Coturnix japonica: one gene and its partners. The protein of the gene in region 1 interacts with the protein of each later gene in a biochemical or structural test. Links are inferred from orthologs where the notes say so. Each region holds a gene or a part of one and is shown in the gene's direction. Other genes may lie near its edges.

Region 1 (3,657 bases):
GTTGGGGCCTGTTATCCACAGGCAAATTTATGCACTTCCTTTATTCTGCCTATTGCATTGCCTTGACTTTTAATGTTTTCAATCAAACAGTATTATGCTAAGCTATGGTAATTCCTGAAGCTCCATCACCTTACAGTGAGTCCTCCTATGTCTTACAGTTTATGAGAAAAGGGCTGGGTCAATACTGTTCTGTTAAACCTTTGTGTTGGCCAATGATTCTTTTGTAAGGCTGGTGGAAATCTTCTTGTTAAATCTCCCCATAGAAATAATTATTTAGTGATACCTGGTCTATTATTTTATGAGTGGACAGCCCCAAATGGAAAATGTTTCTGATATGCTTTGTGGTCTAGAATCTTGTTGCTGCATTGCTTCTCTTTTTCAGACAATTAGTATGTTCCCTTGAATATATTCCTATTTCGGTTTTGTTCTAGAGAGGCGAGATTGAATTTGAAGTAGTGTATGTTGCTCCAGAAGTTGATTCGGATGATGAAAATGTAGAATATGAGGATGAGAGTGGACACCGTTATCGTTTATATCTTGATGAACTGGAAGAAGGAGAAAATTCAGGTTCCAGTAGGAAAGAAGTAAATGTGGATGTCAAACCCTCACAAGGTAAGCCTTCTAAAAAGCGTTGTATTTAATTCTGAGGTCTCAGTATACAAACCAGTTTCTGGAGAACACTGTTCTTGTGTTAATTGTAACATTTATCTTCTGTTAATTCAGTTAACCTACTAGTAAGTTGTCAGCTCTTTTGGTTGGCCCCTTACTCACTGGCTTGGTTTACTTAGATAAAACTGAATTAGATAATTTTTTTGTGTTTTGTGTATTGTTTTTTTTCCTGATCACTTTTTCCCAATTGTTCTTATTTTTTCCTGACTAGTCTAGGTGTAGTTAATACCCTGTGAGCCATTATTTTGTATTGTTCACTTCTTCAGGTATGTTTTTTTAGATGTTTGTCAAGAATTTATGTTTTCCTTCCATAGTGTTTTACTGAAAACATGAGCTTGTATTTTTAGCAGTCTTCTCAGGACATTTTCTAGTTTCTGAAATAAATCTCACTAATCTTTTATTCCCAAGATTACTTCTCTTTAAATAAAATTTCTTCTTAACTTGCAGTGTTTGATAAGAAACCAAGTATTGATGGACATGAAAATGGAGACCTGGGGAATTCAGTTGAAGCTTCATTAGAAGATGCTGCACCCAAATTAACCCGTTCTGCTGAGTCTTTATCCTAAAGAAAGAAAGAAACAAACAAAAACAACTGGACAGATCCCATCTTTGGGAACAACTGATAATCAATATTGACTGCTCCGAGTTTGCGTACACAAATGTAGGTTGTAAAAGGGTAATCAAAAGTCAAAGGGAACTGTTACTTTTGCCTGGAAAAAAGGCAGTTACCTCAGGGCTTCATTGTGAGCAATTTTAAGCGTGGAGAACTGTCTTTTCCTTGACACACAACGGCTACTTAACACATTGCATGTAAAATGAATTTCCTTTTAATAATAAGCACCAAAGCATGGGATTTCTAAAAAGGATAACCTCAATACCTTCAGCTTTTATTTTCTTTTATATCCCTAAGGAAGGGGGATAAGATGTGACCAGCTTCATTTTAACCCCTTGATGTTTTAAAGGGACAACCAGTGTTCAGTTTGTTGTGAAACAAGCTTTGACTCTGGAAGGTGAGGGAGAATTGTACTGTTGCATACCTGAATTTTCCACTTGGAGATTTTGATTTATAACTTTCAAAAACAATGTTTTTTTTTCTGTTCATTTGTTTTTTGGTTGTATTATTTTTTTCCTCTCAAAATAGCAAAACCTTGTTACTAAGCAAGGTCTTCAAAACCCAAATTCAGCAATGGAGTGCTTACTAGCTATGACCCATGATAATATTATGGGTGTGCTTTTTGATATTATTCTTTTAATTAATTCACTGCTAATTCTTCCATATGAAAACTGCTCCAAGCGTATTTAAACATGGTATTAAAGGGTTTTACAAACATAATTAGTTTTAAAAGACATCCACAGTTATGTGTGCCCTTTGGTATTGTGTCTGAACATCATCAGTTCAGTGTGCGTTCTTGAATGGATTTGGTTACTACTGGTGTGGAGTCATCTGAATTGGTCATTATTAGCTTGAGCTTAAGAAATGCTGAGTACTCTCAATAGGTACTGAACATATTTCAGATTAAAATAATCTTTAAAGAAGTGAAAATAAAGTGCACAGTACTTTATAAGAGTTGCTCAGAATTGTACAGTGTCTGGCCCTATCTGTTACTTTTGGGCAGTTGTATTAACCTGTAATTGTCTTACTGTTGAAAGAGAAAAGATACTGTTTTTGTAATGGCAGTGTATCTGAAACTAGCTTTTAATTGGTGTGCATCTAAAGGCCCATGGCATGGTTGCAAATGGAGATGCTGAGGACAGCTTCTTGGCCAGTTTCTTGTATAACTGTAGATGTACAAGAATTGACCTTGTAGATCTTTAGGTGAAATGCAACTTTTTTTTTCATATACAAACTCTCTTCGTAATCACATTTATTATTTCAGACAGCTAAGATAGCTTTCCTATTCACTGCTTTGCAGGCTGTTGGACTGTAATGTGAAAAGATTTTATTATTTGACAGTGGAACTAATGTGAAAAAAACATTTTTGGAAGTGTTAGTATGTAGGATATTACGTACCTAAGGAAAAACTTGGATGGCCTTTAGAGTAACATCAATTAATTTGACCTTCAAAATTGTGATGTAGAACACGGTTGCTTGTTTCTCATAGGAGCACTATATATATGTTAATAGAAAAATCCTAAAAATGTATATACTTTATTCAAAGATTTTTCTATTTATAAATCCCTTAACTTTGCTATTTACAAGATTGTTTTGTGTGTGTGCTTGTACGCATGAGTCCCATTCACTCAGTGGAGTTATTTGGTTCATTTTTTGTAATAGCCCTTGTCATATGGCATACTGTTTGAAGGCTTTTAGAATAGACAAGTTGTACAGTTTTCACCACACAGGCACTAGTATTTAAAAATGAATCTGTGTAAAGAAGGAACAGGTCAACAGACATAGATATGTTTTTTCTGATGCATCAAAAATTACAGGCATGTTGGGTACAAATTAGCAGATAAATCCACTGCTACTGTGTGGTTTTGTTTTTTTTTTAATTATTATTATTATTTTTTTCCCCTCTCAGTTAGTAAAGTAAGAGTGCACTCTGAAACTGGCCAGTGGCCTAGAACACTCTGTGCTCCCTGGCAGAGAGTGTAATTTGAAGCCAAGTAGTAATTTTACCGTCTTTGAAAATCATAGCTGTATAAAATTCTGCTGCAGTTGTAAGATGTGAGGCTGGTCCAACTAGTCTAAGAGCTTTTTAAAAGCACTGAATTTGCCTGCACACTTTCCCTGTATCTGAGGGAAAGATTAAATTCCTTATTCATTTGATCTTCCTTATTTTCAGGCGTAGCTCATTTTCCATTTAGTCCATTGATCCATTTCAGCCTGAGGTGGGAGAATATTTCGGGAGTTATTTTCCTGACATTCCTTGTCCACCTGTTTGTTACGATCCTGTACACTTTATCATCTGCAAGTTACCGGACCCTTTCTGTGTTATTTTATCTATTTTTAATCTATTTATGAGATCAACAGAGGGAACAATGGCT
Region 2 (3,202 bases), on another chromosome or scaffold:
ATAGGCTCAGAGAGTGGTGGTGAATGGAGTTAGATCCAGCTGGTGGCAGTCACAGATCGTGTTCCCCAGGAGCTGATACTGGGGCCAGCCCAGTTTAATATCTTCTATGATGAGCTGGACATGGGGATTGAGTGCACCCTCTGGAATTCTGCAGATGACACCAGACTAGGAAAAAGTGTTGATCTGCATGAGGGTAGGAAGGCTCTAAAGAGGGACCTGGACAAGATCATCAATGGGCTGAGGCCAATGGGATGAAATTCAGCAAGACTTTGGTCACAATAAACCCATGCCAGTTCTACAGTCTTGGGGCAGCAAGGCAGAGTTGCAAGGAAGAAGAGGACCTGGGAGTGTTGTTCAGCCAGGTGTCAACCATTAGCCAGCAGAGTGCCCGGATGGCAAAGAAGGACAATGGCATCTCGGCTGTGTCAGCAGTAGCACAGCTGGCAGGAGCAGGAATTGACTGTCTCTCTGTATGGCACTGGTGAGGCAGCACCCCAAGTGTTCAGTTTTGGGCCCCCCACTACAGGAAAGACATCAAGGCCCTGGAGCATGTCCAGAGAAGGAAATGGAGTTGAGAGGGATCTGGAGCACAGTGCTATGGGGAGCAGCTGAGGGAAATGGGATGTTCTATACGGAGGAGGCTCAGGGGAGACCTCATCACTCTCTACAAGGGGAGGTGGTGGAGTCACAATCCCTGAAGGTGTTTGGAAAACATAGAGATGTGGCACCGAAGGACATGGTCAGTGGGCATGGTGGGGATAGGTGGGGGTTGAACTTGGTGATCTTAGAGGTCTTTTCCAAACCTCAGTGATTCTATCGTTCTATGAATGGCATGTCAGTGAGGGATGGAGATTTAAAGAAAAAAAAGCAATCTGATCTTGGCTTTGATTCTGGCTCCTCTGCTCCCTCCTCTTGTAAAGCATCTCCCACACCTGAGTGATCACTCTTGTGTCTTCTCTCCAAGGGGGCAATGGCTGCCACATACTCTGCACTGAACAGCTCCAAGCCGAGCCCCCAGCTGAAACCCATCGAGTCTTCCATCCTGGCACAGCGGCGGGTGAAGAAGCTCCCCTCCACCACCCTGTGAGAATGGGGCAGTGTGGGGTGGTTACACCAGACTTTGCAGAACTACTGAGGTGTGGCAGGACATAGGGCAGTCGGTGCCTGCCCCTTGAGGACTTGTTCCCAAATCTACGTCAAGGCCAAGTGCCTTCTGCCTGCAGTAGACTGGCTCCTCCTTGCGTGGACTGATCTTTGCTGAAAGAACTTCACTGTAAAACTTTTTTGAAGTGTAAATTGTTGATTTTTAAAGACGACCATCTGTGTACATGAGAACTAGAATGTATAACTGATGTCAAGTGGCACTAAGAAGCAGCTCTGATTCACCCTTTCCCACGTAGGGACAGATATTTTTTGTAGCTACATCATTTCAAATAAGGTAGGAATCATCTAGAGAGTCCAGCAGAGGGCCACAAAGATGATTAAGGGCCTGGAGCCCAGAACTGGTCATGGTGTTCCAGATGTGGCAGGGCAGAGGGGCATGATCACCTCCCTCGTCCTTCTATCCACATGTTTTTTTAATGCACCCCAGGTTACCATTGGCCTTCTTTGGCCACCAGGGCACACAGATCTACAGAGCTGTGTCATTTGTCCTGTGACAGGCAAACCAGCAGTACTGTAGCAGGGCTGCATATTGGGCCACCTCCTCTCAGGTGTATTACACCACTTTGCAGTGGGAAATAATGAGAAATAGTTGGAACAAGGTAGGAATCAAAAGGAAAGATGGCAGGATGTGGGCTGCGGAGGGGAACTCCTTCTCTCAGGGCATTTTAGTGTTAATAGAACCCAACACTTTGAGGTGAACTGTGCTAGAAGTAAATCCCAGGCCCACTCTCACCTGCAGGCCAGTGCTGGAGCTGCCCCAGTGCTGGCAGAGCAGAATGGCAGAGGCTGCAGGTGCACGAGGGTGTGACTGAAGTCAGCAAAGATCCTTGTGCGAATTTCTGCTACTGGCAAATTTTGGTTATTAGTTCCCAGTCAACCAAGTGCTGTTACTTTTTTAATTCCACTGCTCAATAAAAAAGGATGTGTTGATCTCTGTGTATGAGAGCTGTGGGTATCTGTGTGGCCGGGCAGCCCTTTGCTCCCTTTGTGGTTTTCTCTGACAGCATTAGAAACCTTTCCCAAAATATAGAGGGATTAACTGCTATCATCTGAATGGAGGTCACATCATTACTCAGAGTGAAAGCAGGGCTCCTTCAACCTGCTGTCCTGTAGATCTGAAGGAAAGCTTTGGAAAGATGCAGTCTGGGATCCAGCTTCTAATCACGGAGTCTACCTGGAATTATTCAGCTGTGCCTGGGTACTGTGTTAACCCACAGCCACGTGGCCTGGAGATAGCAGTGAGCATCTCTCTCTGTGTAAATGCAGCTTCTGAGTAGGAAAGGTTGAGATTTCCCATTTGGGAGCATAAATCAGCAATGTTTTCTATTGCAGAAGGGCTGACCCAGCTGAGAGACTGTTTTCCTTCTTCCCACTGCGTAAAGCAGCCGTGCCTTCCTCTTAATGATGTGGTACTGACCTGTCAAATTAAATGGAGCATAAATAAATGCTTTTTGGCCTGGTAGCTGTTCCCACCGTGAGTTCTTGGGCTGTTTGGAAAGTGAAGTCTGGTAACTCTCTAAGCAATCATCTTTTTTCCTTACTGAAATGCAGCACAGCTCCATGTACCCTCTGCCAGACCCCACCTGTATATGATGTTTATGCAGTTTTAACTCCTTCCTGCAGCTTTGCCACCAGTCACTGGCTGGGACAAGCCCCAGATGGGTTGGCTTCAAGGTGCCACCAGCCCCCAGCAGGGCCTCAGGATGTTCTGGAGTTGTAGGCACACGCCAGGATGTGGGGCAAGTGCTGTGCTTTCATGTAACATTCAACAACGTAATCTCCTTTTGAAAGCAAAGACAACATTTTAAATATATCAACATCTTTTTCAAGTACAGGGCAGGCAATGAATAAAACCTTCATTCATGCTATGGAAGCTGGAGGTCTACTGCCACTCCATTTTCTTGCTCTGGTTATTAACACATCAAGCTGTCTCGCCACTCAGCACAGCTCACTTGCTGCCTTCCTCCTTTGTGCAGCGCCAGAACACCTGCCATTAATACTAATTCTGCTCTGGAGAGAAACTCCCTTTCAGATATGC
Region 3 (3,063 bases), on another chromosome or scaffold:
GCTTCTGATGCTAGAGCTGGGGTGGTGCTTTCAGATCGCCTTATGTGTACTCACTGTGTGGTCTAAAATTACTTTCTAAGTTGTTTTCTGTATCAGACTGTAGACAGAAAACTAAGAGGGGAGGTAGGTTTTGGGTTTGTATGTTTTTCTCCCAGTTCACAGAAGGAAAACTGCTATCTCTGATTGTAAATTGTGATGGCCATCACGCTCTCTCCTCTCTCTTGAATTTCCCAGTGGGATGCTTGCTGTGTTACTGCATGCAGCTCCTTAGAATTAAACAGAAACCATCAACTGTGTGTGATCACTTGGGCTCTCATTATGAGATTCCTTTGTCCAGGCCTTGCTCTTATCCTATGTGCTGAATGTATAATTCAAACAGAGTTCTGACGACAGTTAGGAAACTAAATGATGAATCTCTGAATTAATTCACTTTTTCTTTCTCTCCCCTCCTTTCTTTTTCTTTATTTTTCCCTTCCTGTTTTTAGGAACAAGATGCCCATGAAGTTTAATCTCTCTTAGCCTCAAAAGAAGAACTGGGGAATAACAGTTATGGATCCTTTATACTTTTCCAACACATTTAACATGGACTCAAGTTCCAGTGATTTGAACTCCTCGCTGCTGACAAATACAACAGAGAATGGGACACTCTCAGAGCAGCTCCCATTCAAATACATCCACAAAGTCCTGATTCCCATCTTTTACATCCTGGTATGTGCAGTTGGACTCAGTGGCAACACATTGGTTATATATGTGGTTTTGCGTTATGCCAAGATGAAAACTGTCACCAACATTTACATCTTGAATTTGGCTGTTGCTGATGTACTCTTCATGTTGGGCCTGCCCTTCCTGGCCACACAAAATGCCATCTCCTACTGGCCTTTCGGCTCCTTTCTGTGCAGGCTGGTTATGACTGTAGATGGTATTAACCAATTCACAAGTATTTTCTGTTTGACTGTGATGAGCATGGATCGCTACCTGGCAGTAGTTCATCCCATTAAATCAACCAAGTGGAGACGTCCCAGGGTGGCCAAACTCATCAGTATGACTGTCTGGACGTTCTCATTCCTGGTGGTGCTTCCAGTCTTTATCTTTTCGGACGTGCAGGAAGACTTTCACACCTGCAACATGAACTGGCCAGAGCCTGTCAACATCTGGTCTGCAGCGTTCATCATCTATACATCAGTCCTTGGGTTCTTTGGTCCTTTGTTGGTGATCTGTCTGTGCTACTTGCTGATTGTGATTAAAGTCAAATCTTCAGGGATTCGAGTTGGGTCTACAAGGCGCAGGAGATCGGAGAGGAAAGTGACCAGGATGGTGGTGATCATTGTGGTTGTCTTTGTGTTCTGCTGGCTCCCATTTTACATGATGAACATTGTCAATTTGATATTTATACTGCCAGAAGACCCTGTGCTGGTGGGGGTGTATTTCTTCGTGGTGGTTCTGTCCTATGCGAACAGCTGTGCCAACCCTATTCTTTATGGATTTCTTTCCGACAACTTCAAGCAGAGTTTTCAGAAAGTCCTTTGCCTCCGGAAGGGCAATGGCGTAGAGGATGGTGACCCCATTGAACACAGGCAAGAGAACAGCAGTCGCTTGCAGGAATCAATGTTAACCCAGAGGAATATTGAGTACAATGGACACATGCAGACTAGCAAGGTGTGAGGGCATGGTGTGAGACTGCCAAGCACTTGTAGGCCTGGAGAACTTGAGATTTAAGGGAAGGATGAAATCACAACTAAAATCTGGAGGCCCATCAGCTCCAATGAATGTACGGAGTCTTCTTTTCACTCCCTTCCCTTTCACAGCTAAAAGTGCTCTGGGTTATACTGAGCTGTGTGAAGTTCTCGCGGTGTTTTAATTAAGGCAGTCAGATGTATGTTACTGCTTCCTGTACTCTAGAGAACCAATCTACTGGTACCCACTGCCAGCTTTGTCCTCCTCCAGTAATCCAAAACAACACAAAATGTGTTCTATACACTTTGTTAAGCTGAGCTCGTGGCTGGGGTCAGCTCGAAACAGAAAACATCTCAAATAATTCCTGTGAAAATACCTTTGAAAGCCTTCAGAGGGGTCTCTTCAAAGAAATGACACTATTTCTCAACAGAAGTTCCACACAGAAAAGGTCACAGCACTGATCATGAAATTATGTAAAATCCATTGTTTTAGAGTGCTGTGTAGTCCATTTGCATTGTTCTACTGTTATTAATCCGTATAAATCTCAAAAGTATTTGGGAGTCTTTCGAATAGTAAGAAAGAATAATAAATAATATATTTAAAATAACAAAAAAAGAGTAGGAGAAAAATGTTGGAAGGATACAACATGTTTGTAATACTTTCACATTCTAAACCAAACTGCATATAAAATGTAATGTATCCACTTTATTATTATGTAAGTCAAAATGATTGTGAAGTGCTGGCAAGCTGTTATGTATATTTATTGGTTCTGAATGTAAGTATGGATGTGAATTTAAGCTGTATTTTCAGAAATTAAAACAAGTTCAACACCTTTTTGACTTTCCATTGCGTAGCTTCCTCAAACACTTGGCAATGCAAACAAAAAGGTACAGCCGAGACTTACCTCAATGTGGACACAATAGAGTTTAGTTGGGTTCAATGTGGGAACCTCCATCCTGCTCAGACACCAAAGTCACTGTGTCTTATGGTGCTTGAGAGCTCAATGGATAAACAGAGATCAAATGACTGATGTGAGACCGTACAGCAGAATAAGGAACAAGGAGCAGTGTGCAGGTCTGACTTCTGTCTCGCGGCTGACCTGAAACACTTGCACAGTTAAGTGAGGGATCTTCTACTGTGAAAAGATGAAAACAAATTACAGGTTTGTTTTAATGTAGGCAGAAGCTATTTAATCTCTTCAGAAATTGCTTTCTACCACTGCTGCTACCCACGCAGGTCAAACAGTCCTGCAAGGAAATTCATTTGTATGTAATAGAATGCAAGTCAGTGAGAGGAAATGAGGGGGCATCTCAGCTATTCCTTCCAACCTTTGGTGGCCTTTAACGTCTCTAGGGGACATGGCTGGGCCCCAGCAGCAGCAGGAAATAT

What was found.
Region 2: the proteins of GOPC (region 1) and RPS6KA1 interact in a test that uses a peptide from one of them, tested with the Homo sapiens proteins (2 studies listed by BioGRID and IntAct, with this or other methods). The link is inferred for Coturnix japonica from reciprocal best matches to the Homo sapiens genes GOPC and RPS6KA1.
Region 3: the proteins of GOPC (region 1) and SSTR5 form a complex in vitro, tested with the Homo sapiens proteins (2 studies listed by BioGRID and IntAct, with this or other methods). The link is inferred for Coturnix japonica from reciprocal best matches to the Homo sapiens genes GOPC and SSTR5.

What each region holds. Positions count from the first base shown.
Region 1 is NC_029518.1:57,644,621-57,648,277, forward strand, and holds part of GOPC (Golgi-associated PDZ and coiled-coil motif-containing protein), read left to right. Parts: intron 1-431; coding exon 432-612; intron 613-1,116; coding exon 1,117-1,235; 3' UTR 1,236-3,657.
Region 2 is NC_029538.1:142,842-146,043, reverse strand, and holds the end of RPS6KA1 (ribosomal protein S6 kinase alpha-1), read left to right. Parts: intron 1-964; coding exon 965-1,087; 3' UTR 1,088-2,626; downstream 2,627-3,202. UniProt on the Homo sapiens protein: Serine/threonine-protein kinase that acts downstream of ERK (MAPK1/ERK2 and MAPK3/ERK1) signaling and mediates mitogenic and stress-induced activation of the transcription factors CREB1, ETV1/ER81 and NR4A1/NUR77, regulates translation through RPS6 and EIF4B phosphorylation, and mediates cellular proliferation, survival, and differentiation by modulating mTOR signaling and repressing pro-apoptotic function of BAD and DAPK1.
Region 3 is NC_029529.1:5,617,064-5,620,126, reverse strand, and holds the end of SSTR5 (somatostatin receptor type 5), read left to right. Parts: intron 1-485; 5' UTR 486-549; coding exon 550-1,662; 3' UTR 1,663-2,509; downstream 2,510-3,063.